Arabidopsis thaliana: one gene and its partners. The protein of the gene in region 2 interacts with the protein of the main gene of each other region in a pairwise test. Each region holds a gene or a part of one and is shown on either strand. Other genes may lie near its edges. The genes, in order: MYB3R-3, AT3G18210, TGA3 and MYB73.

Evidence for each region.
Region 1: the proteins of AT3G18210 (region 2) and MYB3R-3 interact in binary tests that used the Arabidopsis thaliana proteins (3 or more experiments, as listed by UniProt).
Region 3: the proteins of AT3G18210 (region 2) and TGA3 interact in binary tests that used the Arabidopsis thaliana proteins (3 or more experiments, as listed by UniProt).
Region 4: the proteins of AT3G18210 (region 2) and MYB73 interact in binary tests that used the Arabidopsis thaliana proteins (3 or more experiments, as listed by UniProt).

Annotation. Positions count from the first base shown.
Region 1 is NC_003074.8:2,876,030-2,884,179, reverse strand, and holds MYB3R-3 (myb domain protein 3r-3), read right to left. Parts: upstream 4,828-8,150; 5' UTR 4,647-4,827; coding exon of another isoform or gene 4,605-4,646; 5' UTR 4,363-4,604; coding exon 4,121-4,362; intron 4,009-4,120; coding exon 3,957-4,008; intron 3,860-3,956; coding exon 3,802-3,859; intron 3,514-3,801; coding exon 3,419-3,513; intron 3,336-3,418; coding exon 3,232-3,335; intron 3,156-3,231; coding exon 3,027-3,155; intron 2,929-3,026; coding exon 2,052-2,928; 3' UTR 1,825-2,051; downstream 1-1,824. Other genes in the region: AT3G09360 (Cyclin/Brf1-like TBP-binding protein), read right to left, coding at 5,748-5,990, 6,078-6,131, 6,337-6,426, 6,557-6,685, 6,784-6,864, 7,025-7,113, 7,195-7,237, 7,377-7,517 and 2 more. UniProt on the Arabidopsis thaliana protein: Transcription factor that binds 5'-AACGG-3' motifs in gene promoters. Transcription repressor that regulates organ growth.
Region 2 is NC_003074.8:6,235,594-6,243,311, forward strand, and holds AT3G18210 (2-oxoglutarate (2OG) and Fe(II)-dependent oxygenase superfamily protein), read right to left. Parts: upstream 5,013-7,718; 5' UTR 4,804-5,012; coding exon 4,471-4,803; intron 4,204-4,470; coding exon 4,156-4,203; intron 4,069-4,155; coding exon 3,892-4,068; intron 3,819-3,891; coding exon 3,668-3,818; intron 3,564-3,667; coding exon 3,477-3,563; intron 3,354-3,476; coding exon 3,229-3,353; intron 3,135-3,228; coding exon 3,016-3,134; intron 2,899-3,015; coding exon 2,787-2,898; intron 2,704-2,786; coding exon 2,671-2,703; 3' UTR 2,309-2,670; downstream 1-2,308. Other genes in the region: UMAMIT4 (nodulin MtN21 /EamA-like transporter family protein), read right to left, coding at 1-5, 105-167, 276-535; AT3G18215 (transmembrane protein, putative (Protein of unknown function, DUF599)), read left to right, coding at 5,375-5,539, 6,196-6,765. UniProt on the Arabidopsis thaliana protein: Participates in the epigenetic repression of flowering genes in association with ICU11. Functions in the repression of several members of the MADS-box transcription factors family, including SEP3, during vegetative development via histone modification.
Region 3 is NC_003070.9:7,786,507-7,794,253, reverse strand, and holds TGA3 (transcription factor TGA3), read right to left. Parts: upstream 5,122-7,747; 5' UTR 4,604-5,121; coding exon 4,598-4,603; intron 4,266-4,597; coding exon 4,065-4,265; intron 3,979-4,064; coding exon 3,892-3,978; intron 3,757-3,891; coding exon 3,697-3,756; intron 3,622-3,696; coding exon 3,544-3,621; intron 3,458-3,543; coding exon 3,394-3,457; intron 3,294-3,393; coding exon 3,022-3,293; intron 2,946-3,021; coding exon 2,712-2,945; intron 2,586-2,711; coding exon 2,433-2,585; 3' UTR 2,115-2,432; downstream 1-2,114. Other genes in the region: AT1G22080 (Cysteine proteinases superfamily protein), read left to right, coding at 165-443, 519-865, 942-1,029, 1,277-1,464, 1,539-1,626, 1,842-1,850.
Region 4 is NC_003075.7:17,537,476-17,543,798, reverse strand, and holds MYB73 (myb domain protein 73), read right to left. Parts: upstream 3,310-6,323; 5' UTR 3,198-3,309; coding exon 2,235-3,197; 3' UTR 2,000-2,234; downstream 1-1,999. Other genes in the region: HMA1 (heavy metal atpase 1), read left to right, coding at 331-436, 589-753, 901-1,117, 1,202-1,389, 1,473-1,559, 1,648-1,812. UniProt on the Arabidopsis thaliana protein: Transcription factor that functions in salt stress response. Acts as a negative regulator of NHX7/SOS1 and CBL4/SOS3 induction in response to salt stress. In response to auxin, activates the transcription of the auxin-responsive gene IAA19.

The DNA of each region.
Region 1 (8,150 bases), 3.4 Mb from region 2:
TAAAAGTATGAATCCAATAACTCTAAATTTATGAAGATTTTAGATTACTTTTTACAAATATTAAACTATTAACACCTAACTTTAACAAACTTTTTAAAAGTCTTGATTAAATAACAACAGATTCTCCACAATATTTTAAATTACTAAAACTCTATTTAAATCGGTAACCAATAACACGTATGTAATTCGTTCTTTTTTTTTATTTTTCTTTATAATATGGCTAAAGTCGGTTTCGGATCGGGGTATTCCTTATTAGAAACATATTCTTGATAGGAAAAGGGTGTTGGATTTTTGCTATATAAACGTGACCTTTGGTGTTGTTTAGAGCTCACAACATTCTTCTATTGAATACAAAAAATCAAAAAGCTTTTCAACTTTTAAACAGAGATCGATTAGGGTATAGATTATTATGGTGGCGAATCCTGGCCGTGGAGACCGTAGGAGAGGCGTTGGAACAATGGATGACTTCGAGACGACCAAAGGGGTCGATCCCATCGAGAGTTTCGAAGATATGGGCCTTAAAGAGGATGTTCTTCGTGGTTTATACGAGTACGGTTACGAGAAGCCCTCGGCCATTCAGCAGAGGGCGATCATGCCAATTCTCCAAGGGCGAGATGTTATTGCTCAAGCTCAGTCCGGTACGGGAAAGACCTCTATGATTGCTCTCTCCGTCTGCCAAGTCGTTGACACTTTCGTCTAGAGAGTACGTTTTCTCTTCCTCATACCCTAATTCCAATTTTAACTTTTCTGCCAAGTTATCTCCAAATTTATTCTCATCTTATTTGTTGGTATTTCTGATTGCAGGGTTCAGGCCTTGATATTATCCCCAACAAGAGAGCTGGCTTTCACAAACAGATAAGACGCATGCATGCATTGGTGGGAAGAGCCTCGGAGAAGACATAAGGAAGCTGGAGCATGGTGTCCATGTTGTGTCCGGAACACCTGGTCGTGTCTATGACATGATAAAGAGGAGAAGTCTAGGCACCAGAGCTATTAACCTTTTGATTCTTGATGAATCAGATGAAATGCTGAGCAGAGGATTCAAGGAACAAATCTATGATGTTTACAGATATCTTCCACCTGATATTCAGGTTTGCTTGGTTTCTGCAACTCTACCTCACGAGATTTTGGAGATGACAAGCAAGTTTATGACGGATCCGGTGAAGATACTTGTGAAGCGTGATGAGTTGACTCTTGAGGGAATTAAAAACTTTTTTATTTCTGTAGAGAAAGAGGAGTGGAAATTTGAGACAATATGTGATCTTTACGACACACTTATCATCACTAAAGCTGTTATCTTCTGCAACACAAAACGAAAAGTGGACTATATTAGTGAGAAAATGAGGAGCAGCAACTTCACTGTCTCATCAATGCATGGGGACATGCCTCAGAAGGAGAGAGACGAGATCATGAATCAGTTTCGGACAGGTGAAAGTCGCGTTTTGATCACAACAGATATGTTTGCACGTGGGATTGATGTGGATCAAGTTTCTCTTGTCATCAATTATGATCTCCCTAACAACCGTGAGCTCTACATTCATCGTATTGGACGGTCTGGTCGTTTCGGACGTAAGGGTGTTGCAATCAACTTTGTTAAAATCGACGAGATCAAGATTCTCCGGGACATTGAGCAGTACTACAGTACTCAGATTGACGAGTTGCCAAAGAATATAGCTGATTTGATCTAAAACACTTTTGTCAATGTGAAACTATCTTATGATTTGTAAATTACCTACCCGTTTGAATAATGACATCATAAAGTCTATTTAGAAAAAAATTCAAAGCAGAGTGATATTGTTCACATCGGTGAACGAATGATTCAATGTTCAAATAATCAAAGACGCATATCAATCAAATAATCAAGAACATGCACCAATTTCTATGGCCCACTACTGAAGATCTTTTTTTTGTTATGGAAAAAAAAAACCTAGCTCAACTATGAGGTGTAAATTATTCTTTGGACTAAATACATCTAACATCTCTAACATTAACCCAAAAATAAAAATATAACCAATGAAACAACATTCAGCGTGTAATCATCTAGTCACTGTTTAGCCTAGGAGTTGAGAATCTCCATCAATCAACATATCTTTCTCAGATGATTTGGTTTCATCATCAGCTTTCTCTTCCTCTCTAGATATAAACTCAAGCTGTCTTGATTTGAAAACTGCTGTCCTTTTCGATCTTATCCGATATGGAGGAGATAGATTGTAAGCATTTGATCCATTATTTTGAATCTCTGAACTATCCTTACCATCATTCACCTTTTGATCAACCTCTTTAGCTTCATCTGTTTTCTTGGCGTTGTTGTTATCCTGAACAACAACCCTGGGTCGTCTTTTCCTGAATATGGATGGTGTGTTTGGGTAAGTTCTACCAGCTTCTCTCAGGTAAGATTCAGGACTTCTTGGAGTCGAACCGTTACTGTGCACATTCCTACACGGCGGTGGAGTGAAGAAGCTAACTGGTGATGCGCTTGGACTGCAACCACATTCATTCCCATACATACGCTGCGTATCCACTTCTGACGCCCTGTAATAGTCTATTTGAGGCGTGTAGTACAGATGATAACCATTATTTGCAGCTCCACCATTCTCTGGCAATGGCTCTGGGTTAGGCAACTGAGGAGAACGAGCATACTCATTAAGACTAGTCATTCGTGAAGCAGCTACTACTTCTTCGACAGGAACAGATGAGTTTATTTGGCCATTTCCGTCTTCAGCGAGATTGTTTACATCTGTAGTTACTGATGAGGTTTGAGCAACTGAACCAAAAACCCTTTTCTGAGCAGACGATGAACGTTTGGTTACACTATCAGGAACACCATTCCTTGTTGTTGTTGGTGGTGGTAACCTACCAGTCAATAAGTAGAATTCTGACTTCTTTTTCAATGAACTATTCCAATGGTTCTTTATTGCATTATCAGTCCTGCAGCAAGTTTTAAGTAAAACCTTCATTAAACCCAGAAGCTAACCCTTCTCTAAAGTCTCAACTCCAATGACGCATGCCAAGAAAAGTAAAAATACCTGCCGGGTAAGACCTTAGCAATTTCAGCCCATTTGTTTCCGTGGCTTCGATGAGCATTCATGAGAGCTACTTCTTCCTCTGTGGTCCAAGCATCCTTGTTAATATCAGGATTCAAATGGTTATGCCACCTGCATACATATCAAAACACATTAAAGCTTCCAATATAACTATAAGAAAAATGCTTGGCTCATATGAATTAACTACCTCTCTCGGCATTGCTTCCCAATTCGACCTGGTAAAGACTGTGCGATAATAGACCATTTCGCAGGCCCGTATTTTTCAACCAGTTCAACGATTTTCTCATCCTCCTGCAAAACAACAAACTTTAAGCCTTCGTATTTCACATAAAAAATGAAGCCAAATAATAAATAAAATCAGAAACAGAATCAACCTCATGTGTCCAAGGTCCCTTAATAAGGTCTGGATTTAGAACTTTCTGCCACCGATGCAGGCATTGAACTTCAGTTCTATCAGGGAAAGATTTCGCTGCAAAAATGAATACACCAATTCAAACAATACTAAATGCTTCACGGAACAAAACGGAAACAAACGTAAAAGAAAGTCTTTCTACTAGATGCTCAGCCTCAGATGATCAAGTTAACATACAAGAGTAACTCATAAAACTACAGAGACAAGAGTATGGAACTAATAGTTACTGTAAGCAAGTAGGCTCCAACTTTAATATTCGAACCACAAATCTATGGAGTATGTTGTAGCACTGACATTACTCTTGTTAATATGAGAACTAGAATCTAAAAAGAAGAAGAGACTTACCTATGTTCTTCCAGCTCTTGCCTTTAAACGTGTCAACTGCTTGTCTCAATGTCTCATCCTGCATTAAGTAAAACAACTCACATCTTGAATTTCGAACTACTGATCCAAAATTGATATTGGTCAAAAGCAATCACTAGTCAATACTCAATACTAACCTCTTCCGGAGTCCACCCACCTTTGGCTCGCCTTATAGGGCCACTCGTCCTCCTGCATACCAAACACTATCAACATCAATCTCTTGTAGAAAAGATGCAAATTCGCAAACGAGTGCTGCGGAGGAGATACAAAACAAGGAAGAAGAAGAAGGAGACGAACTAACCCGAGGTACCTATGAGTAGGTGATACTGTGGCAGGACTTGCAATTGTAGGTGACTTGTGGGAACTACCAGCACTGCCTTCAGATACAGAAGAGCACGAAGCAGGTGTTGATTGCTTATTTTCTACACACTGATCCTCAATTTTCACTTCACCTGTTTCTTCCTGAAGATCCATCATCTCAATGAAAGAAAAAAAAGATCCAGACTTTGATAAGAAACAGAGAAACCCTAAAAAAGCAATCATCGTAAAACACAAAGCAGACAGAACCCAGATCTCACAAATCACGAATTCAGTAAACAGCTCAACATTAACACCAACCACAGCAAAATTAGGGTTTATAACAATTGTAATCACAAAAATTTATAGTTTCAATAAAGTTAAATTCGTTTCGAATCAGAGCCAAACAACAAAGAACTCAATTTCACTAGAATCTGATCACAAGAACAAAACCCTTAAAAATTCAGATTCGATACACAAAAACTAACCTCATCTGGAGAAGAAGCGGCTGGATTAAAAGTGGAGCTCATCGAGATAGATAGATACACGAATTCACCAGCAGAAGAAGAAGAAAGAAGGCGAAAGGAACGTTAAAAAAAAAACCAAAACTTTATTCGAAAAATACTTTGCCCGTTGAACCAGAGAGAGAGGGATAGAGAGAGAAAGAGAAGACTTGATCGAAACAAAGCGAGAAAATAAAACATAAAAAAGGGTTCCCTAAGTTTTATCTCTCTCTCTCTCACTATTATAACGAATACTTCTTCTGCTGACGTCACACCGTTACTTGCCGTTCTTTTTACCTTAAGTAACCTATTTTCTCCAAACCGAACTGATATTTATCCATAAGCACGAGTTGAATGTAATGCAATCTAATTCTGGTTAAAGCTGGTTCAGTAAAATAGACCAATTTAACGCCGTCGTTATCTTTTGGAAAGTGGAAAAGTCGTCAAGGTTAGAAGGTACACTAACGGACGTTAACGGTAGAGAGTTAACCTCAGAAACAGAAGTTTGAACCTCAAACGGCACTCGTAGCTGATCCGTTGACCACTGAACACGTATACGATGCCAAGCTTTGCAGGTGACTCTGGACCGTCGGATTTGGTTTGAGATGAACTTTATGATTCTTCTTAAATACTATCCTGTAAAACCAAGCTAGATGTAAGATCATCCGGACCGACACATTTTGTTTAAAATTGAATTTTCTGGTATTTGATTTTGGGAATTTTCATAAAAAGTCATCACTTTTGTTTCAGTTATATCTTTATAGAAAAATAAATTTAAAATACATTTAGCTCATCAAATAGGTGAGATAAGTTCAGTGATTGTTAGTTGTTATCTGATAGAAATTAGAATTATCATAAACAAGGAAAATAAAATTATCAAAATTAAATACATATAGATTTTATTAAATTAATTAAGTTAGTGGTTTTTCATTTCTTAGTCAGTACCACTTGAATTGTAAAAATAAATAGATCATTTGTGTGAACTTTTTTTTCTTTTAAATCTTAAATATTTGTTACTGATAATAAAGAATAAATTTAGTTGGGGTTCTCCTATATTAATGCAAATAAAATCAACTAATCCGGCAAAACAAAAGAAATTAAAACTCTTGTGTTTCACAATACATATCATCAATACAATCCAAAATCATTACCATCCTCTTCTTCTTCCTCGTCCTCTTCATAGAATTTCTCGCCGTTTTGAAAATCTGTCTTCATGTCGTATGATTCTACATTGCCTTCTTCTTCATCCTCTTCATCTTCATCTTCATTTTCACCATTCTCATGTTCATTACTCTTCATTTCCTTGTTCTCTTCCTTCTTCTTCTCAATGTCTGTCTCTGTTTTCGACCTCTTGGGTGATTTCTCAGGTGCCTGAAAGAAGAAAAGAGAAGCAAAATTGTAAAGACCTCAAAAAGTGATGAGAATTGAGGATACAAGAAGAGGTAATCAAAAACTTACGGATGTATCAAATAGCGACTCCAAAACATCGTAGTTGATCACCGAACTAAGTCTCTGTAAGAGTCAACACTCAAAATCAGGAAAAAGGAAGAAACACAGACTCTAAAGTTTCTTCAATGCTAATAATTTCGACAGCCATGTTGTTGACTATGTACTTCCAGGCCAGGTTTTTAACAGATGATACATGGCATACTCGGTTTATCTTTTTTTGCATATTCGTTTTCAAGTATCAAGGTATCAAAGAAGCTGACATTCTAACCTTTTTATCAAGCGTTCGGCGTACCGCCTCCACTGCTGTGGCTGGAGGAGCCGCGTTCTTTGCTTCCTCAGCTTTTTTTTGTTGCTTTTCCTATATGAAGAGAGAGAAAAAAGAATCAGAAATTGATTGAGAAACCATATGTCATCAATGGGTATCATGTTATTCTCCAAAAGTCAGATGCTTGATCAGGAACATAATTTCAAAGTTCAAACTGAGTCACCTTTCTAGATTTTGCCGCATCAGCTTTGGCAGCTTCGAAAGCCTTTCTTGCATCTTCTGGGCAATTAGAGTTGCTAGCTTTTAAAGCTTCACTAGCCGCCTTCAGAGCTGCTTCCTTAGCAGCTTGCTCCTACAAAACAACATAATTTTGTATGTGATTTGATCTCCTAGGTGATAAATCAAAAGGAATCCAAGAGAAGATACATATTATATAGCCTCTGAAATCACCTCAAGATAATCTTTGTTCATTTCTGTCCATGTGATCGTCTTATAGTGCGTTTCCTCCTCGTTGTTGATATAGCCATTTACCTGAGCAACAGTAAAATACTATGACTGACGATCAAATATAACAAGGGAAACTGTAGTGAGAAAACAAGACTTTGAAACTGTTGAGAATTCTTCTTTATTTCATGTTCCATATTCGAGGTTGGAAATTTGACATAGCATTTACTACTAAACAATTACCGACCTCATCATCACTGATGTCAGAAAAGTTGTCTGATTCATCCGAAGTATCAGCATGTTCTTCAGCCCCATCTTTATCTTTTTCACCTTTCTCTGCGACACAGCCCAAATAGATTCTCAAGTGCTCAAACGATAGTGAAGAACTTTAATCTGATAGAAAACAATTGCACTCACCAGAACATTGTTTTCCCCTTTTGCTCATACTGCAATAGTCTGACTGTTAAAAGTTCGGCACAAGAAAGATTTTATTATAATATCATACAAGCAGAAGTGAACAAGCTCCCAATACAGGTGCTTTGGGTAGGGAGGAAAATATCTAAACTGCAATCCTCAAATAAAAGAGCACCAAAACTTACATATAGTTGTTCATCGTGGTTTAGGCTACTAATTCCTCCCTCGTTTTCTTCTCTAGCTGCTTTTTCCATTCGCTCTTTCTCTGCGCGCTGGAAAGCAGGAGGATTGGACCCACCAACAAGTCCACCAGAAACATTTATGAACTGCATTAAAAATTGCAAAAGAAAACATTTGATTGTTAACTCTGGGAACCATTTGTCAACGACTCGCAACTACGTAAACAGAAGACGTGATTAGAAAAATCAGGAAATTAACCGGTGACCTACATCTTTGTAGCAGTCTTCACATAGTCCATAACCAAAAGGTTTACTATCCTGATGCATACAGAGCACCGCCTCTTTATTTGAGGTTGGTTTCATGGTAAAAGATCTTTTATGCGATTCTCTTTCTCTGAGCTCATTAACCTAGCCACATATGTACAACCGTTAAAAATGAACATAATTCTTCAACTGATATGAGGCAAAGCAAATCGAGCCTGTGACACTATTGCATATGACAACAAACCAATAGCAGTGGAACATGCAATATTATAAGTTATAACTACTATGACGGCGGAACCAGATCCTCATATTTAACCCAATGTGTGCTGATATGACCAGATAGCATGTAATTCTGCTAGACACTCATTAGCCTTAACTCACATTTAAATTTCCAGAATCCGTATCGCCAAACTCAATCAATCGTTTGGTGAGAGTTGCTTCACATATATGCACAATGTTTACCTGGAAGTAGAAAACACACCAAATCAGTACTAAATTAGTGAATTAAAGGCTAAA
Region 2 (7,718 bases):
TGATGCTGATGTTAAAATACACAAGCAAAGTTTCAGCATTATAATCATTGATTTAAGGATTGAGGAATCGGTTCTTATTATTGTGTTCTCAGGTTAAGCTATACCCTATGAGTGCCAAGAAGAAGAACTGAGCCAGTAAAGAGATTGTAAGTGGAGGTCTTTCTTTTCTGTTGATAAACAAAGCATTGTAAGAGTACTATCAACCAAAGAATACAATATTCAAACTTGAGATCGTACCAAAAAGCCCTAGAGCTCTGAAAGATGTGGAGGCTTACTTTTCGAAGAAGTAAGCGAAGGGACCTATGAGGAGAAGGGCAAGGAGATTCCTATAAACAGGGTACACAACTTTGCTGACACCAATGTTAAGAGCAACTCTTGAGACAATGTGGAAGCCTGCGAAACAAAACTGAAGTGTGATCAATGCCACCACGAGCTTCACCTTCTCTGATACTACTCCTTTCCCCATTTTCTCTTTTTCTTCTTGAGCTCTTCTTTTCCTACTTCTTCTTTTTTTTTTTGAAGTTTGATAGCACATCAGGATTGCTTTTATACTAAAGTGTGTGGTGGTGACTTGTGATTTAATATACAAAACAATAATTATCAATTACACAATAAAGAAAATGGATGATTAAGGAAGAAATAAATGTTACATAATTTCTTCAAGTGGGCCACTATAGTTGTTTATAATTAATGATTATGAATAATAATGCTGATAAAAGATGGTTATTTGACTGTAATAATACGATTCGGAGGTTGAATGTTTTACGTGACTTAGATAATGTGGGGGATATGTTTGTATTTTTATTTTTATTCAAATGATTTAGGGATATATATGTATTGTTAGAAGTTTCACTCATGTTCAATGAGAGGACACCACTTTGGGTCCTTTATGTCATCTAAAATTCATACACCTACATTTACAAATTTGTATTTGGGTTGTGCAACGGCGACAATAGTAATACAAACCACTATTTTATCAATGTTCACGTTGAATGTTGACATATACATATATGTTTAATTTGATTTTAAGTTTGTGTTTCTAGTGAATTCTTCATTTGGGGATTCATTTGATTTCTATTATGTTTATATATTCGTTTCTTATGTAATAATGAGTTTATGGAATCGAATAGCATGTGGTCTAGCTCATAATTAGGCATCTTGTCTTGAATGTGGAAAACCATTAATAATTTGATTGATAAGTTTACTAATATCTCTTCGAAGGAGCACTAACCACCGTTTATTCAGTTAACTTGTAATTGTTTCATGTCATTAGATTCCAAAAAACGGCTACAATCAAATGTACCAATTAGGTTGGATTTTAAAACTATGACATCTTCCAAAAAGTTATGTTAAACATATAACTTGACCTAATGTATTAAGAAACTATTCTGTTTTAAATAATGTTTAGCAATCATTTAAGTAATTTGTACTATGTACTCTCTTTTCTTTTTCTTCTAGTGGCCCTAAAGAGGGACACATGCAAGATTCTCCATTTTTTCAGCCCATGATATGAAAATTCTCAGTTTGAATTATATATAATCAAAATATTCCAGCTTCAGAATCCAAAAGAAAATTAAGGATCAAAACTGAAACACAAAACTAACAACACAATCATCAGATCACCAAAATATCAAAAACAAACTGGCAAAAAAAAAAAACCTAGACATCAAATCTTTTTAAAAAATTCAGTCAAGAATCCCTATTGAGCTCAGATTTTAACATTAAGAATATCTGCAGAATGAAGTTAACTTAGTTGTGTTTTCAACGACTTAGCACACACCTAGACATCAAAATCTTTTAAGATTTAAAACAGACCCAAATGATCCTTATTGATCTTATACTACTGTATCATGAAGATGAAGGATTGTGTTTTCATCTACATTGCTAATTAGTGTGATCATATATATAAACATCGTATCAACATAGATTGTCAAAAAGATACCAAGAAACCCCAAAAATAAAATGAATTTGGTGAGAAGAATGAATGGAAGAGTATATAAAAGAGACATAAATAACAGATCCATAAAAGGATTCAATGATAAGCCTTAAAGTCAACTAATTGGGTTGGTAGTACCGTTTCACACCCAATTTCGATTTGTCTTGCCATGAAATAACAAGACAGCAACAAAACACCATCTACACTTTCTTCTCTCTTCCATTATTTAGAATAACGTGCACAATGGCCCTAATGCTCATTTATATTCAAAAGAGCCTACCGAAGCAATCGATTTGGGTTTCTATAAGAGCAAAATCCATTATTTGTGGCTCTAGCCATTGGTGAAGAGCACAAGTGCACAACTCAGTAGAGCAACGATTTGAGGCGAATATGGAGATTTAAGAGAGCAGCATCACCAAATCCAATTAGATAACACCAATTCTTCCTTGTACTCATATGAAAGAACAAAAAAAATCGGACAACAATATGACTCCTTGTAGTACACAAGTGAAGTTGAGACTAGATTCTTTCATGTACATATTTTATCAAAGAGTCTGAGAAACGATAAACAGAGACCCATATAACTCAAATGATTTCTACATAGGCTCAGTTTTAAGTCAGCTTAAAACAGGAGCAATTCTTCAGGGCTTGATCTCAAGTTTTAATGTCATCCAATATATGTTATTGCTTATCTTACTAATGTTTCATCAATTGCTCATCTTGCTAGTGTTCCATCAAGCTTGGGTTTGACGTGGTTTAAACAATTTCTGCAATAGCAATAAAGAGCATAGAATCATCGACCATTCTAGTAAACAGAGAACTATATAAGCTTGATCAATCACAGGCTTACCTTTCTTAGAGCATCAATCGACCGCACTTTCTCATCTCTCTTTTCACAAAAGCACTCTCCACACCAGCTGGAGAAATCCTTGTGATGAGTTTTGAGCTCTCTAAATACAGAACTGCAAGGAACAACACGAAAGACAAGCTTAATAAGAAACCAAATAAAAATGGAAAGTCAATTGCAATGTAAAAAAAGATGCATGGCAGTCTAGAGGCAAGTTTTAGATGCTATTTACCTTCTGCACCATAGAAGCATATTGACCCGATGCCCGCATGTTGTGGCTCTGGCACCATGGCGGTGGCGGCCACGGTGAAGCACAGCTTGTCCAGGTATATGACAATAATCATATGTTTCCTGCTTTCGCAGAAAAAAAAGAGTTGTTTATATTAGCTATCAGCCATATACAGAATGTTAGAAGACAAGAAAGCAACAGAAAAGAGTGGCATACATCTGCCTTTGTTGCTGTGTTCACATGTTTTTCACACCGTGTGCCTCTGAAAAATAGCTCCCCTCCCACAAATTGATTACCCAAACAAACATTCAGCGTTACTTCTGAATCATCCACATGAAAGCCTGAAAATTTATATAACATCTGATAATTTTCAGCCAGAATAACGTGAGTATTGGAATATATCTGCATTTAGGACAACTAGTCAGGTCATGGGAAATTATACAGGATATGTCAAAGGGTCTCACCTAAATCAACATCCCTATCTTTCCCATATTCAACAACAAAACCATGGTGAGAGTCCAGAGTTGCTCCACCCACATCACTGAAGAATACTGCAAAACAAAAGATTCGAAGTAGCTTTTTAGTTTTAACACTGTGAACATATTAAACAGACTTTCCAATAATAGACTATGTAATGGATTTAAAAATATATTGCCTTTAGAGATGGGACGTATAAACCCCTCCATGAGTTTGTCAAGCATGGTGTCTAGACCAAAGTCGTCAAGCACAGCACCGTATTTATTCATGGTGTTTGGTCTCATTATCCGGAATTTGGTCTCACCCACCCACCTTTCAAAATTGTCTATCTGCATGGTCAAACAAGAGCAAATGAACAAAATACGAAGGATAAGAGAAAAACAAAAAATGGATGCACATTACCTCGGCTAGCATCATCTCACAAAAGCTAGGCTGGAGCATGTCAAAGACGAAAACACCAGGAGACGGTTCAGATATTATATTTCTGAAGCTTTCCTCTGTGTTTTCATTTATCGCCTTAAGGAAAGCAGGAACGAAACATACTGTGGGAACTAGAGTATACAACTCCTTGTGAAGTGGCTGCAGTAGAAAAACACTTCAAACTACTAACAAATGACTGGAGCAGAGCAATACAGAACACAAGAAAGCTCAAGAAAGGATTCACACCTGATAATTTGTTGTAATCTTCAGCCTATAGTCACTGTGCCTTTGAGCCTGTAGCATCAGCCAAACAAAACTACTTAATAAAACTCTTGAGCTCATATTGACATTTTCAAACCATTCATGCAATATCTTCTACCAACCATCATCTAACCAGATTGAAATTTCCATAACCACTTAACTAAAAGTGAAACCAGTTCATAGTAGCAATTAGCAAAAGCTCAAATTTTCATAATGAAGTGTAGCTTCTAAAGCAATTCACAGTCATCAATACAAGTAAAAACAAAATTCAAGAGAGAAAGGTCCAAATCTAGTACTTACTCTGGAACGCTCTCCATGAGGAAGATGCCTAAGCATAATATCAGTCATGAATTTGATTTTCTCATCACGATTCGAGACGAGCATATTCGGAGGCAAGTACTTCTCCAGACTAGAATATACCGAGTTTGGGAAATCAAGCTGCAGATCTTCATAACTATCGGGTCTATGCTCGTTGTTAGGGTTTAGCCTTAGTCTCTGGCAAGAAACCATCGTAGAGGTAGCTCTCAATGTCGTGGGAGCCGCCGAATGAGAATTCTGACCTGCAATTGTTCCGTTACCTTCCACCGTCGTCGTCGTCGTCTCTTGCGAACCTTCTCGCTGCTCACTTGACATTACTAAAGAAGGCAGAGAATTCAAGTGAGAAAAAACTAGGGTTTCTTCTTCACACTACATTCCAAAAGCAAAAAATCTTAAAGGGGAATTGAAATCGACTTTTTAAGCTCTCGATCTGGAGATTCTGATTTTTGAGTTCCCGTTGAAGTTAGGGTTTCTGAATGTTCCCTCGAAGATTTTTTTATCTTTTATTTATTTGTTAATATTACGCACGAAACCACCAGTCATACGCCTTATAAGAAGAGTTAAATGATTTTCTAGCCCATCTATTAGGCGGCCCATTAAATAATTCGAACCGGTTATTTGGTTTAAACTGAAATTACCGGTATAATCGTGGAATTGAAATCATTCGACTTTGAGTTGTCTGTTAGTGCGTTATTGGTTAACACGTGAGAGATATCGATAGTCTCCTCTGGAGTTTGTTAAGTTCACACGTGTGAATGAAAGCTTTCGCTCTCAAAGCTTGGTGCTTTTTCGTCTCTTGCCTCTGCCAAAATCTTTTGGCCGCCATCGATCTTTCCGATCACGGAACAACCGTACGAATTGAAAGTATCTCTGCGGCGAAGTAGAAATGTGGACGGAGGAATCTTTGGATTTAGTGCTTGTGCCGACGGGTCTGGTCGTGATGGTTGCTTACCATGTCTGGCTCGTCTACGCTATTCTTCACCGCCCCAAGCTCACTGTTATCGCTCTCAACGCTGAGTCTCGACGACAATGGGTCTTCTCTATGATGACTGTATGTTTTTTTCTCTTCTCATTTCTATTGTTCCTCTTTTGGTGACATTCTGGGATTTTCTTGGTATTTCTGATTCTGGAGATTTTGGGGTCTAGATTAGGGTTTATGGCAATAGAGCTGCTTTGTTCGTGATTTTAGGAATTGGGTATTGAGAGTCTTACGGCTCTCCTATCCTCAATTTTCATGATTCTGAAGTTTTCGAAGTCAACTAAAAACTAGTAAACCATAAATATTTGGATCTTCAAACATCAGGTAGCAAAATTGAGCAGGGTTTATGATGAGTAAAGATGATGAGATTAGGAGAAGCAAAGTCTTGGAGCTGTCAAGTGATGTTAGATGTGAATCTTCATTAGTAGAATCAATGTTATAATAGACGGTTGGCTATCTTCCTTGGAAGCTTGACATTTTTCAAGAACTCTTCTTGTTCATGGAGGATATGCATCACAGATCCCTATAGTTCACAACTCTACGCATATTTCAGCTAGAATCTTGGAGCTAGTTAATGAGGTTCATTGGATAGGAACAGAGTCATAGACATGAGAAACAAGAACACAGTCGTGTGTCTGTCCGTTAAGATCCGAATTATCGGTGGTCTTGGCTCTCAGTATTGGTTCTTTTGCAGTAGATGATATAAGTTTATCTATTGTTATTTCCAGGAACCACTGAAAAATGGTACCTTGGCTGTTCAGACAATCCGGAACAACATAATGGCATCAACCCTTTTAGCCACAACAGCAATCACTTTATGTTCCATCATCGGCGTCTTTGTAAGCAACTCGTCATCTTCAAAATCCACGGCAACAAATCTCATATACGGGAGCAAAAGCCCTCGCTTAGCGTCATTCAAGAACTTTGCAATCCTGATCTGTTTCCTCATGGCCTTTCTCTGCAACATCCAGTCAATCAGGTATTACGCTCACGTAAGTTTCCTAGTCACAGTGCCTGTCTCAAGAGGGAAAAGAGAGCACTGCGAGTACGTGTCTAGAAACCTGAACCGAGCTAGCTACTTCTGGTCTCTCGGATTACGGGCTTTCTACTTCTCCTTCCCTCTCTTCTTATGGACCTTCGGGCCAATCCCGATGTTTGTGTGCTGTTGTATGATGTCCTCGATTCTATATTTCTTGGACACGACCACTAGTTTTACCAGGCATCTTCATAGCCAATCGTTCAGAGAAACGGCTGATTCAATGGACGGCGAAATCGAATCAGCTGTTCATACTCTGTAGATTCTTCTCTGACTTTTGTTGTGTATTAAGAGTTATATGTTAACGGTGTCTTTTGTAATGTGATGGAACAACTTTGTCTGCAATTATGTATGCGTTTGTGTTTTCATGTTACAATGATTAGAAAACATTACAAGATGAAAACGCAAACGCCTACCTAAACGCAAACAAACAATCTTAAGTATGTTCATCACTGAAGAAAGTAATGGTTTTAGCTTTTTCTGTTCTTGGTTTTAGGTTTGGATAACTAAGAAGAATTGTTATTATTCACACAGGCCTTAAAACAATTTTGTTCTTGCTTTGTTTCCACAGGATTGAGTAAAATCCATAAACGAAATGTTCAAGCCTCAAACTGTTTAAACATGACTAGATACGCACAAAAAGGCTCACGCTCGATAAGTACATTAATGAAACCTTTTATTAAGATTTAAGGACAAAAGTTCGATTCTTCTTCTAATGCCAAGAGACGTTACAAAGCTGGAGTGGCAGTGACGGCGGAAAATAAGACAATGGGGATGTCTTTAGGTGATCCGATATCGGATACGAAGGCGAAGAGATCATACAAGATCTCATTGCATTCGTATCCACTATGGATCATCTAAACTCATTCATGGAATCTGGTACCTCTAATTGGCTCATTTCCCCCACGTCTCTTAGAATCGGAGAAGACAGAGAGAAAAACCTAAAGCACCTGACGGACTCCGGACAGATTGAGCATGCAGGAATAAATAAGCGCGACACTCAAGCAAGCACCAAAGATTTGGGGTTTTCCGAATATTTTTTAAGGATTTGAAACTTCTAGACTGGGCTGGGCCTAATTAAAAGATTATTAGCCTACCAAAAAAAGTTCGAGACCCATCTTCTCTCTTCTTACTTTGTTGTCTCTCTCTACAATCTATATGTTGGCTGGCCAGCTGAGACAAATTACTTTTGCATTTGGACGATGATTTGTCTAT
Region 3 (7,747 bases), on a different chromosome or scaffold from region 2:
CATGGATCGTGATTGCTGGTTTTATTCGAGATCAGCTCAGGCACATCAATTGTTAGGCGTACGCTTCTTCCGATCTAACCAGTGCCATAAGGATTATCCGCCACTGGGAAGATACATATATTCCACTGTGTGCTTGGTACCTAAGCAACCATGTTGAACCAGAGATGCTCGGCAAGGATAAACATGCGGAAAAGGGACATGTGTGCTACGGTAATTCAATTGCTGAAGCCTTGGAACATATTGAAAGAGAAGGGATCCCAAAAGAGATCCCACAGTTTCGTCAGTATAAATGCCGTCGTTATCCTCCAAGTGCTCATAAGAGAAAGCACAAGATAAAGTCTGTCCTTAGTTTCGACACTTTGGACAAGGCTTTAGCCCACCTTCACATTCAGCCTGTTGGTGCAGCTTTAATTACTTTCCCTGAGTTGTGGCGTATTGGAGAAGTAAGAATAATTTAAGCAGTGTAGTATTTGATTAGGTCTTACTTTCTTAGCTAACATATATAAATTGTTGTGCAGCACATCTACCGTGGCCCATTAGAAGAGAATACTCAATTCACGGGGTTTCATGACGTGGTGATTGTCAAGGTAGATGTGATTAACCGCGAACAGGTGGCGTTGTGCAAGCTGAGCAACGGCCCAAAAATTGGTGTTGGTGGGTATGTATGGGTTTCCCTGGAAGTGATGTACATGGTGGTTGGTGCTCAGGATAATGATAAAGATATGCTTCGGCCCTCCTCAACACCACGCCATCTTCTTTCGGATTTTAATTGCCCACTAATGGATGAAGCTCCAAGGGCAAACCTTAAGAGGAAACAGGAGCAACAAGATGAACCAAAAAGATCTAAAAAGCGTCGTCGTCAAAGGTAAATTGATCAGACTGTCACAGAGTTGAACAATGCTCAGTGTTGCGACTCTTTCATTGCTGTGTTTTGGTTGCAGAGTGGCGCGCAGCAGTTCTAAATTGCACTCTAACCTAGATGATGATGACGTCGCAAGTCTTCATGGCCAAGTCAGGCAGTTGATAAATGTAAGATGACAGATTTCTGAAGCTTCTGGCTCTCTATCTTTTAACATTAATTTCATCTTATGAATTAGGAAATCTGTCATACCTGAGGAGTTGTTACTGTCCTCAAACTCTGTATCACTAGCTGTCCTCATGTAGTTCCTGACTCTTGATGTTTTACAGGAATCAAATGACTTCTGGTTTAAGCTAGTTGTCATTTTTGTTTTACTGGAACTTTGGCTTTGTCGTATGGTTTTATCTTCTTTTGCAGACAAGAGATACAAATAGTCATGATCAAGAAGCATCTCATGAAGACGATAAACCTGCTGTTGTAACTTCAGATAATTTGCCAATCTCTACAGAAGAATGCTCGCAACTAAGCTTTGGATCAAGCCCTTTGAGCAACAACGCAGGAGAGACCTCTGATGTAGCTTCAAAGATGGAACATTCAGATGCTAGGTATTCTGTTACTAGTGATTTCTTTTCCCAAACTATTTATACCATACTTACCAACTGATCATGCTTGCTTGCAGAAGTACCGACTTCTATGGACACTCTATGGGCTCAAGTAATAGCCACAATGCCTTATCACTTGGTGGCCCAAGCAGTTCCATGCCAGAGGTAAATAATCCTTTCTCTTTAAGAAGCACGAGACTGTAATATTTCATCCTCCTAGCTTGTATTTTGTAACAAGGAAGTAGTAGTAAACCGGGTCATGGATACTTTCTTGTTTACATGAAGTACTCTGCTGCCTTTTCCATATGAGTCTTGTGTTCTTCACATTTGGAAGTTGATTTCTTGGTCTATTCTTATGTCTTTTTACTTCTTTTTTCCAGGATGGCTAGTGAAGAAGATTTGAATTTTACAGGAGAGATAAAGAAAGAAAGAGAACTAACCCTTTTTACCCCATTTGTATCACAAAAGGGAAGAAACATGTGTTACCTTTAACTCTTGTCTTTATCTTTCCTCGGTGTGGGCTTTTTTGGCTGAGACCCGTAGGATATTCATTTTAGGCACAATTTGAATGAAGGGAATGATCAAACTCTCTATGAATCTATTTGAATTTATTGTTTGTCTATTGACCAATTTATACCAACAACAAATATAAGCTAAGAACTGTTGGAATAACAATATAGACAAAAAATTTGATTGTGGGCTCAAATTTTCATATACGAGGAGATGAGTGACAACAAACCCTATATATTTTACAAATAAAGAGCCTAATGCATCAAAGACATTACATGTTTTCCACCCAAATTTACACATCTCTTATTCCTTTCAAGTAAACAAAATCATCAATGAGGAAGATGATGCTCTCTAATGGAGAAAATATCAGCCAACACTTTCTGAGAGATAAAGCAAGTCCCTATAGCTAACATCATCTGCCTTGTGCTTCTTTCTCTTTGTTTTGTTTGCCTCCTAACTTGTCAAGTGTGTTCTCGTGGACGAGCTGCCCAGAGAGAACTAAGAGCACGCAGCCTGTGGAAGTATTCTCCTAGAGCGAGCAACCCTCGAGCAGCCTGTCTTGTCGTCAATATCTTACTCATTTGCTGCAGGGTCTGTTGTCTCAGATGATCCGCCTGTTCCAATATTGTCAGAGATTTTGTTTGTGAAATCCATGCTCACAAAGTTTCTAATCAAAAATGAAAATAAACTTTGGATTCATGGAGACTGCAAAAGCACAAAGCAAATACACTTAGCGTTACCTGGTTCACAAAACTCTCCAATGCTTGAAGATTCTCCATGGCTGAAGCCATTGGAGCCCCGTGATTCACAGACTCAACAACTTTTATCTGAATTGCTATGCTTTCGACCAAACCCTGCTGAAGTTTATCTAAGCCTTGAGAGAGAGCCTCCTCTGCTTGCTGAGACGACTGTTGCAGGTTACGCACCTCCAACAGTTGCTGATCGGTTAAGGGCTCAACGTATGGCATCACAACCTAGACAACAAAAAAGGTTGAGCATTTTTTCTCAAGAGTAGAAAGAGAAACGTGTAAAAGTAAAAAAGAAGTTTACATTTAAAAGCTCGGATGGGCGGAAACCTCCAATCCATTGGAAGAAGCGTTCAGTTGAAGTTCGCCACATTCCCGACATCAAGAAGAACACATCAGCCTTTGCAGCATCAGCTTTCATGCGGAAGAGATTTGCGTAGTGGTTCAAGCAACTATCTACCAACATTTTGAGCTCAATGTCACCTATATGAGCTTGGAGCGCTGTTCGAATCTCACTAACTCTCCTGTTTTGCTCTTCTAGCCAGTGTGTGTATTCCATCTCAAATGCAGCAATACCTGAAAATGGTTATTATTGGGAAAATTACTTCTTTATCTACTGAGGATTAAGAGATAAAGCAATGCTAACATATGCTTATTTAGTGATATAAACACCAACCTGAGTTCATATTCCCAGCTGGTCCTAGATAACTAGTATCTGAAGAATTGCGTACGCATAATCCCTAATACAAACCAGAAGAATCACTGAGTCAGAATGAATCAGATAAAGTTTGATGAACACACAACAAATAAACAAGCTTGAGCTAACCTGCTGCCTAGCTCTTACAAGTTCCTGCTCGAGCTGTGACAACTTCAACCGGCTTTCTTCTAACTGTTGAACATGGGCCTACAAGCACAGACACAACTTTGCATAAGCTTTCCTTTTTATCATTAACACAAGAAAAAATCCCACCAAGGTTACCTTCTTTCTCAAACGACTTTTGCGAGCAGCTTCTCGGTTCTGAGCCAAACGCCGTTTCATCTGTTCATAGAGAAGGAACAACAATTCATGTCATCACGCCGTGTCTCTTCCTCTAAAGATTAAAATGGAGAAGGAGGAGTTTATGAAGTCTTCGAAGCAAAAGGTATAAGTAGCCTTAAAATGCTAAAGCCTTACCTTATCATTGATCCGGTCTTCGTCCTGATCATTATTACTCGACGGTTCTGCTTCAAGAGAGTTATTATACACAGAAGTATAATTCACCTGCAACATAATTAACCATCAATCACCAAACAAACAACACTTATAAATCATTCTAAAGCATGATCCAGGAATAAACAATAACTCACTCTATTGTTATCATCTGCTTCTGGTCTAGCATCAACCTCAAGTGTTGTTGAAGAACTCTGATTGTTATTCTGATTACTAGTAATATTGTTGATATCTGATTTGAAAGGACTCTCCCAACCAGATAACTGTTGAAATGGTTCATACATCCCCATGTCTCTGAATGATACAACTTGAGTAGTAGAAGAAGAAGAGCTCATCATCTGTAAATCAACAATTTACAGACTCAAGCTTATTGAATTCAAGAAACAGATTCTCTAGCTCAGCTTTCAATAGATATATAGATCCAGTCCATATCTCTAAAATTGCATTGCTTACTAACACACACAATAAACAAGTAGTTATAGTTTCAGTTTTAGCAATAAAGGTTGAAACTTTAGAAAACCCAGCTCTCCAAAACAGAGCCTTTTGAAGAAACATAGCCAAATAGAGTAATACCCATGAAACTAGAAAGTTGCAACAACTAAAAACCAAAATTGGAAAATTTAAGGACTTCACAAAGCAAGAAAAGATAACATGAGAAACAAAAACCAACCTCCATTGATAAGCAGAGAAGAAATTCATGAGGAGCTCGAGAGATGAAGAATGAATCTTGGCATTCTAAAAGGAATATTCCGATCAAACGGTGACCACAAGAGAGAAGAGAGAAATGAAGAAAAACTTTGGTCAAAACTTAGAGGTGAAGCGTACCCATCATTGAAAAAAAAAAGCAGAGATATTTATTTTTTTATACATATATTTTGTGTTGTTGCTTTTTTTTTTTTCCTCATGGCTTTGATTAGTCCATGAGCGTAGAATAATAAGCAAGTTGAAGTAAACGAACGATGAAACGACAAAAGCATCACCACCGGGAGAAAAACAAATCGAGAGAGATGATAAAAAAGGTTGAGTCTTTTCCTCTATTCCAAAAGTTGACCTTATCGTGCGCCTCTGTTTCTAAACTACACCTTTTGATGACCTGGATTCTTCATCGTCGGCCGACACGTCAGATGCTTGAGGGGAATATTCCGGTAATTTTTATTTTTTAACATAGAGAATCTGAATCTCATATATATAAGATGTGATTTGTTTATGATTTTGTTAGAAAAAAACATACAATATCATATATCAAAACTTAATAGTCGACTTATGATTCACATTATAAAAAGTTGATATATAATATATATATATATATATAGTTTTTAAATTAAAATAGTTATAGTAATGATTTGATCTGAAAATGGATAATTGATATTTGTACCACGAGATTACTACCGATTGGTTAAATATATTTTTTAGTAACGATTTTAAATATAGCTGATAATTTATTTGTATAAATATTTGAATAACTGTGAATTATTTGTTATTCAGAAATTGAATAAACTTTTCCAAGAAATTAGGTCGCATTTTGTGGGACAAGAGTGGAAGATTAATACTTTTAATCAATTTATTAATTTTTATTCGCTTTATTTGGAGGGTCTCAGTGCTATGCAGTGGCATCTTTTAACTTAAGTACTCCTCCTTAGCTTAGTGAGTAATAATTGGGCCTCTAGTGACCTACCCAACTCTAAGAAAATGATTAATTTTGTTATCTTTTTCTTCTTTTGCCTAATACAATATTGATTCTTTAGTTAGTTTGGTGCCACTTGTCTGATAAAATCTGCGTTTCGACAGAGACAAATACGTAAAATAAGTGGGGCTTTTGGTTTGGCTTTAATAAAGATTTCATATACTATAGTTTTCAATCTTTATAAATATGATTCAAAACGTATTGATCAATGACATGCAAAAGGATAAATACCGAAACTAAAATGAATCATTTTGATTTTCTTAAATCTATTAAGTTTTTGTCTTTTTGACGCAACAGCGCAGAAAGGCCTAAAGAGGAAAAGTTGGGCTTAGAGTAAAGCCCATAAAATTTGTCGAATATTCAACACATGGCAAGTGCACGTGAGAAAAAATCTACAGAAGTCTCTGTGCCGCTTTTTAAGGCTTCTCGCCTTGTACAACTTTTTTTTTTTAAAAATGCGCAAGTTTCTTTTCTGTAACGTCACATATTATTTTCGTTAACCCTAATAATTTTGGTGTTTTCTTTATTTTGTTATATAACATGTATAGATTTTAGACCTAAACTTTACCACTTAAAAGAGTGTCTACAATGATAAAAATAATAGATCATAATAAGTTATTTAACTTTAATAATCTAGATGATAGAATTCAATCTTAAGTCTAAAATTTCGTAATAAACCTTTAAATTTTAATACACGATATATTATAATATATTATTATATATTATAATATATTATTATATATACACCCAAAACCGGCTCAATAGAACTGGAATTTTGGTACAAATTTTAAAAATTAGTCTTTTTCAGTATTAATTTTGTTTATACACAATCATTTACTTACATATATATAAACAATAAAATAATATATATATATATATATATATATATATTTATATAAGATAAAAGGATATATAAAAATTTAGACCCTTTAACAACATAATTACAAAAAAATAAGAGTATTTAGGATAAATTGTTTTTTATTAACTTTTTAGCAAGGAAAAACAATTCAATAATTTATATTCTTCATGCATCATATATTTTATGATCGACTGAACAATATCACCATCAACCACTACATGGTTGCAACCAAAGAGGGAGCAACCATGTAGCATTCGACTACCAACAAACAATATCACCATCAACCACCACTACATGGTTGGAACCAAAGAAGGAGTAACCATGTAGCAAACCAACAGTATCACTATCAATCACTACATGGTTGCAACCAAAAAAATAATAACCATATAACATTCGACTACCAACCAACCAACAATATCACCATTAATCATTACATGGTTGCAACAAAAAAAAAGAACAACCATGTAGTATTTTGCCATCAAATAAAAAGACTTTTCACGAATTGTTAATAAAATATATTATATTTATTTTAGACTTGCAAAAGATATCAGTCACTAATTGAAAATAATCATTTTCGCATACAAGAATGTCATTCTTCTTACTTCTTTGCATGCATCAACTTGTCAACTTCATTCAACTATATCCTAAATTGTTTGAATCTACAAAATATATTTTCAATTATTAAAAATAATTAAAATTACGCCAACATTACAAAATATTTGACAATAATTAGGCTCTTAGAAAAATTTATTAGAGGAAAACAAAATCTATAAAATCCTGACGATTTCACGTTTCATAATGAAGATTTCAAAATATTATTTTGTACACCACTAGTACGTTTGATTTTTTGAACAGGAGGTCGCATATTGGTCGCCACATATACTATAATGTTTTGGCCATTTTGATTAGTTAATTAGGAAATATATTAACGGCGTTATATATTTAATTTGGTACTAGTTTTACCATTTACTTGCTTTTTAGTTTTTATAAAAATCTATTTTACTATATAAATCTAGTAGATTAGCCGAACATTCTTCTTGTAAACTATTAAACGGCCGTTCATTGATTTAAAAACCTGGTACTAGATTCAATAATTTACATTTAACAAACAATTATGATACTCGTCTGAAAAGATGTATGAGTTTAGGGCCAGATACTCTTAGTTATTTAAAAAATGTATTTCTAAATAATCTAATTTGTCCATCACATTTGGCTATTCCAATTTGCATCAAATTCTGATGTCACCCATATAGATAGATTAGATACTATACTTATCT
Region 4 (6,323 bases), on a different chromosome or scaffold from region 2:
TCATCACATAGTTAGTACTGTGGCGCGTCTATAACTCATGGGAAATAAGTTATCTTGTTGGATGGTACATTCATTTCAGGAGATATGTTGACGTAAAGAATTTTAGTCCTACATCTAGAACTTATTCTTATTTCTAGTTCATTACCACAATCGGATGAAAGGAAGGGGAAAAAGCAAATTTGAACGCTATGAAGCTCTCTATCTCTGGTTTTTACACTGGTTTTTACACTGGTTTATTAGTTTAAATGATGCTTGGTCTGGTAAGAGATTGAGACTGAAGAGTACTATAGGTCTTTTCTGCTGTTTCTGACACATTTCATCTTGCTGCAGAGCTGTTGTAGATCACAGTGTGGGTAAGGATCTTCCTTCTATTTTTGTTGAAAGCTTCGAATATTTTCCTGGTAGAGGCCTTACTGCTACTGTCAACGGTGTTAAGGTGAGACTCAGTTATTTACTAGATTCTTATATATATCCATTTATCTACCAGATTTTATAGTGTATAGCTGTGGGTGATGTGTGTACATCTCTGGCTTTCATTCTTAATATATATGATGTTGTCTCTCACCACATTTTTTGGTTTTGTAATAGACAGTAGCTGAAGAGAGTAGATTACGAAAAGCATCACTTGGTTCTATAGAGTTCATTACCTCACTTTTCAAATCTGAAGATGAATCTAAACAGATCAAGGATGCTGTAAACGCGTCTTCGTACGGAAAGGACTTCGTTCATGCTGCTCTTTCTGTTGATCAAAAGGTATACTACGACTACTTCTTTAGCTGGTCTAAAAACCTCTTTCCTACTTCACAGTCTGTGATTTTCATCTCTCATCTGACCATTTATTAGTCCATAAAAACCTCTGTAACACTGAAATTTATGAGCCTTGCAACTAAATTTTGTCAGGTAACATTGATTCACCTCGAAGATCAGCCTCGTCCAGGGGTGTCAGGAGTTATAGCAGAACTTAAAAGCTGGGCCAGACTCCGAGTAATGATGTTAACTGGGGACCATGATTCAAGTGCTTGGAGAGTTGCAAACGCAGTGGGTATTACCGAAGTCTACTGCAACCTAAAGCCAGAGGATAAGTTAAATCATGTAAAGAACATTGCTCGGGAAGCAGGTGATCATTCATTACTCTCGCCATAGTTCCCAATCAAAAACATCTATCAAGAGACTGAGAATTTAGAGTTGTGATTTTTGCTAGGTGGAGGTTTAATTATGGTAGGAGAAGGGATTAATGATGCTCCAGCTCTAGCAGCTGCAACAGTGGGGATTGTTCTTGCTCAACGAGCGAGTGCCACTGCGATTGCCGTTGCTGACATCTTACTGCTTCGAGACAACATCACCGGTGTTCCGTTCTGTGTCGCTAAATCCCGCCAGACAACATCATTGGTAGATAAAACATAAAAGTCTTTGTTCTTAACCAGTTTCAGATGTTAGATTGCCTGATTTAACAAGAATGTATCATGTTGCAGGTCAAGCAAAACGTAGCTCTTGCATTAACATCGATATTCTTGGCCGCTCTTCCTTCAGTTTTAGGGTTTGTCCCATTGTGGTTGACGGTACGTAAGCTAATACCCACTACAAGCTTTTGTTATCCATCATTTACCCGAGAGACAAAACCGCTAACCTGCATTTTTGTGATCATAGGTACTTCTACATGAAGGCGGGACTCTTCTGGTGTGTCTAAACTCAGTACGTGGTCTAAACGATCCATCATGGTCGTGGAAACAAGACATAGTTCATCTAATCAACAAGTTACGCTCACAAGAACCAACCAGTAGCAGCAGCAACAGTTTAAGCTCTGCACATTAGGGGGTAACTTGCTGTTCTTTGTCTAATTCTGCAAAAGCAAGACACTGTGAATTGTATGATCGCTTATGAAACATCAAAATCGTATATATGTTTCGTTTCGACTGGTTTCTTCAGGTCATATATTATGTCACGTGAGATTATATTTACTACTTTTAGTTTATGTTTGTTTCCTCGTAACAAACCCATAGAATAAAAGTTTGAGAAGTGTTTTTGACTTTTCTTCTTCAAGTTTGTGTAAATTGTTAATAAATGATCTTGCTTTGCTTTTAATTGAATCACGAAAGAAGATCATATGATGATGATAACAAAACATTTTTTGATTTCGCTTCCTCCTTTCGTCGTCTCTACTACTGGCTCTATACATGAAAAGCCTGAAACTTTTATTTTCCCGAGAAACAGAGGGAAAACTTGTTCTTATCACTCTACTCCATCTTCCCAATTCCGATTTGGTTCACTATAAACTCTCTAAACCCAACACGACGGCTGTTTACACTTTGTGGCATACACGAACCGCCACCTCCGCCGCCAGAACTACTACCACCGACGTTTCCTCGCTGTAAATCCGCCATGTAACTCCTCACCTCCGTCCTTATCATCTCCTGAACCACCGTCATGAACTCACCACCGAATCCACCAGATATCCCCTTCGCTTCTTCTTCTTCTACTTCCACTTGCTCTTCCTTTCTAACCGGAAACAGCTCCGCCGTATAACCACCGTCCATAACCGTATTCTGGTTAAGTTGAACCGGCTCGTTGACTCGAACCGTCTCGTCAGTCCAAGGAAGAGACAAACTAAGATAAGTTGGAGGATCTTCACCAGACGATGACGCTGTAACCTCAGATCTAACCGTTGGTTTAAACACGTGTGCACCACCACTAGATTGCTCGCTGACGTCAGATCCCGATGGACTTCCGGGACTCATATACAAGCCAGTCGAGACACCACCACCACCACTCGCCGTACGTTTCAACGGTTGCTCTTCTCCTAAATTACCATCATACCCTCCATTACCACCAAAATCACAACTTTGCCCTTCGACGCTGCATTTTCGCTTCAGCGTCGAGTTCCAATGATTCTTGATAGCGTTATCGGTTCGTCCATTGAGAAGACGAGAGATCGTAGCCCACTTGTTACCAAACCGAGCGTGAGCTCGAATAATCGTCTCGTCTTCTTCCTGCGAAAAAGCACGGTGCTCTACCTCCGGAGATAGCTGGTTACACCACCGGAGACGACAAGATTTGCCGGAACGTCCAGGGATTGATTTGCTAATCAAAGACCAGTTCCTCGGACCATGTTTCTGAACAAGCCTCTGCAACAGATCATCTTCTTCTGGACTCCATGGACCTTTAATCCTCTCCATATTCTTACGGGTCGGGTTTGACATCGCCGGATCTTTTTATCGGATTGTTCTTTTTTTTTCTTCTAACGCGTCCTCTTTTTTTTTGGTCGTTACAGTTTTTTTTTTTGTGTGTGTTGGGAAGAAAAGCTTTTTGGTTGAAGAGGATAAGAGCAAGAAGAGAGAGTATTTATACGAGAAAGGAGTGGGCAAAAGGGTCACCGGTTCAACCGGTAATTTTTTCTTATCGATTTAACAGAAACGATATTAAACTAGTTAAACTTTACAGTGTAATATTATCCTTAACTGCATAAAAATATCTAACGTATTATTAAAAACAAATTTTATAGAAGGAAACAAATAAAACCGTTTTCTCTATTAATAAAGAGATTTGCTCAGTGTTAAACGGATAACTATGGTAGTTCAAACAATAAAAAATAAAAACTGATAATTATGGTCGTTACTCGTTAAACAATTTTGACTCATTCAGTCAAAAAAATATTGGTGAATTTAATTAATTTAAACGTATGATTAACCATTGTTTATATGTTCATAATTATGTGTCCATAAATGGGCTACGTACAAACCTCGTTAACGTTTGGGTATAAAAAAATTGACAACATTTACGTGTTTGTATGATTGGAACAGATATTTATTTTAAACCAAAAATAAAACACGTTGGCGATTGGAAAAGGCGTTTTGGGAGATAAGCGTTTGTGTGAGGTTAACATCGAGCGTGGAGAGCAGAGAATCTTCCAGGAAAAACGGTTGGGGACTTGGGATACAGCTGTATATTAACACGTGTCAAGTAAGTATATGTACTTTGAGTTTGAGATTTGCTTTTTTTTTTTCAATTGTTCTTTCTTTTTTTTGAGAGATTTGTTTTCTTTTGAAGAGAGAGTACGCTCGTACACAGGAGCGTTTCTTCCACTCTCTGTTTTACAGGTGGAGCGTTTTTACCCAATCATTTCATTTTCCATCTAAAGTGACACTCACAAAAAAAAATCGTTAACTTCTACGTTTTATTCTCTCTATATTTATATCCTTTTTAAAATCATTCTCTTTTTGAATATTTGTTAACTTTTTCGTATGTTTTTTGAAGTTTTATTTTGTAAAATTTTGATACTATTGTAGAAGAAAATGAAATCAAGAATGGCAATGTATATCAAAAAAAATATTAAAGGCAAAATTTTGTAAAAACTAAGAATCTGCTGGAAACATACATATTGCTTTTAAAAATAGTAAGTGCAACAAAAAGACTACATAGAAGTCAATAAAAAATAGCCGAAAGTTTTTGTGTTATGAACTAAAGTTTTTTGATAAGTTATTTTCAATATTTTACACTGTTTGTTACATGTCATTGTCTTCTGTGTGTTGATTGATACGTGTGGTTATTATATAAACGAACGATTGGTCCAATATCCAAATTTTGGTTAAGATGTAAATTGTGTCGGTGAAAATAATGTAGACATTGTAGTCGTTGACAGCGAGTTCTAGGCTTCTAGCTTACATGCAACAAGTGAATGTAATAGTTTTGCAATGTTTGGTCATTGAATTTCTAACAAATATGTACGTGTAAGATACTAGATTAAATATGAATGTTGCAAGTAATAGATCGTTTATATTTGTCAAGTGATAAATTGTCGTATAGAAGAACAACTAAACCGAAGAATTACTAATCCGGTTCAACTTAGTTAACCAGAAATTGAAAGGGTAAACGCCGGTGAAGCGCGTGTAGGATGATGATATATATACAGTGAAGCAAACTTTTCAGGATATATATGTAACTTTTATTTATGTTCTTTGTAAAACAAAAGTGTGTGTAATTGGCAGAAAGAGAGAACAAAACCTAACAAACTGAAATACAACAAATATCTAGATATTCATAAATATCTAAAACCAAGTTCCACTTCATGCAACTTTGCATATATACACACGAAGTTCATAGATTAATTACACAAAATAATGAAAATGAATAACTTAAATACCCTCCAAATTTTGTTTTCATATAGTTTATAAAAAAACTAAACCCTAATGCTCAAAACAATTTATATCTTATGCATTAAAATTAGGGATGTAAACAATAATTGAAGATTATTGTAAAAGAATGTATGATATAATTAAAAATGAAAATTGAAAATACAACAAATATCTAAACCAAGTTCACTTCATATGACTTTGCATATACACATGAGATTCATAGATTATTTACACCAAGATAATGAAAAATGAACAATTTCAGTACCCTCCAAATTTTGTTTTCGTTTAGTTTATATAAAAACTCAACCCTTTGCGCAAAACAGTTGATATCGTATGCACTAAAACATATTAAACTTATGAAGGTAAACCAACAATAATTGAAGTAATATGGTAAAAGAATGTATGATATAATAGAAAAATGAAAAAAGAGCACCAACAAAAAGAAATAAGGAAAACAAGAAGAAGAAGATAAGGATGAAGTTAACGGTTAGGTATGAGGTTTTGGTTCGATTCGGTGACTTTTTGACTGAGGAAGCCAGCCTGTATACCATTATTAGTATTTTTTTTATTTATTTGAAAAATTGTTATCATTATTATGTTTTGGATATTTTGCCGATCTCAAAAATGAAATACTCTAAAAAGCAAAGAAGAAAAAAAGCAAAACAAAAAGAAAAAGATAGGCCAAAAAGAGACAGTTGCTCACGTGGCGCAAAACGACAAGGATAGATCGGAAGGCTGATCGTTACCACTTTAATTTTCTGATATTATAAAAAAAACAAAAACAGGCTGTAAATCTCTGCCTCCCTTTAACGGCCACTCTCCCACCTGCCGGTCACCCACCCACCCTTTTTTATATATTCTTCACTAATTAGTAATTTACCATTCTTAACTCCTTTATAACTTGTGTTTGGAAAACTAAAAATACTTTGGTTTAGTGTTTAGTTAAGAAATTTAGAATTTTTATCATTTGTAAAAAACACAAATTTGACTTTTGACTTTTTTATTTTTTTGAGTTATACACTTAGCTTTTTGAAGGAAATTAAAGAGAACAAAAATATATTTTGGTGTTTTTCAAAATATGTGAGAAAATAAAACTTAAATATTGGAGGGTCGTATTGTCTGAGTGGAATAAATCGTAGTCAACTATATGTATGTTTTTAAGTAAGCGAAGAATTGTATTCGAATAATATATTA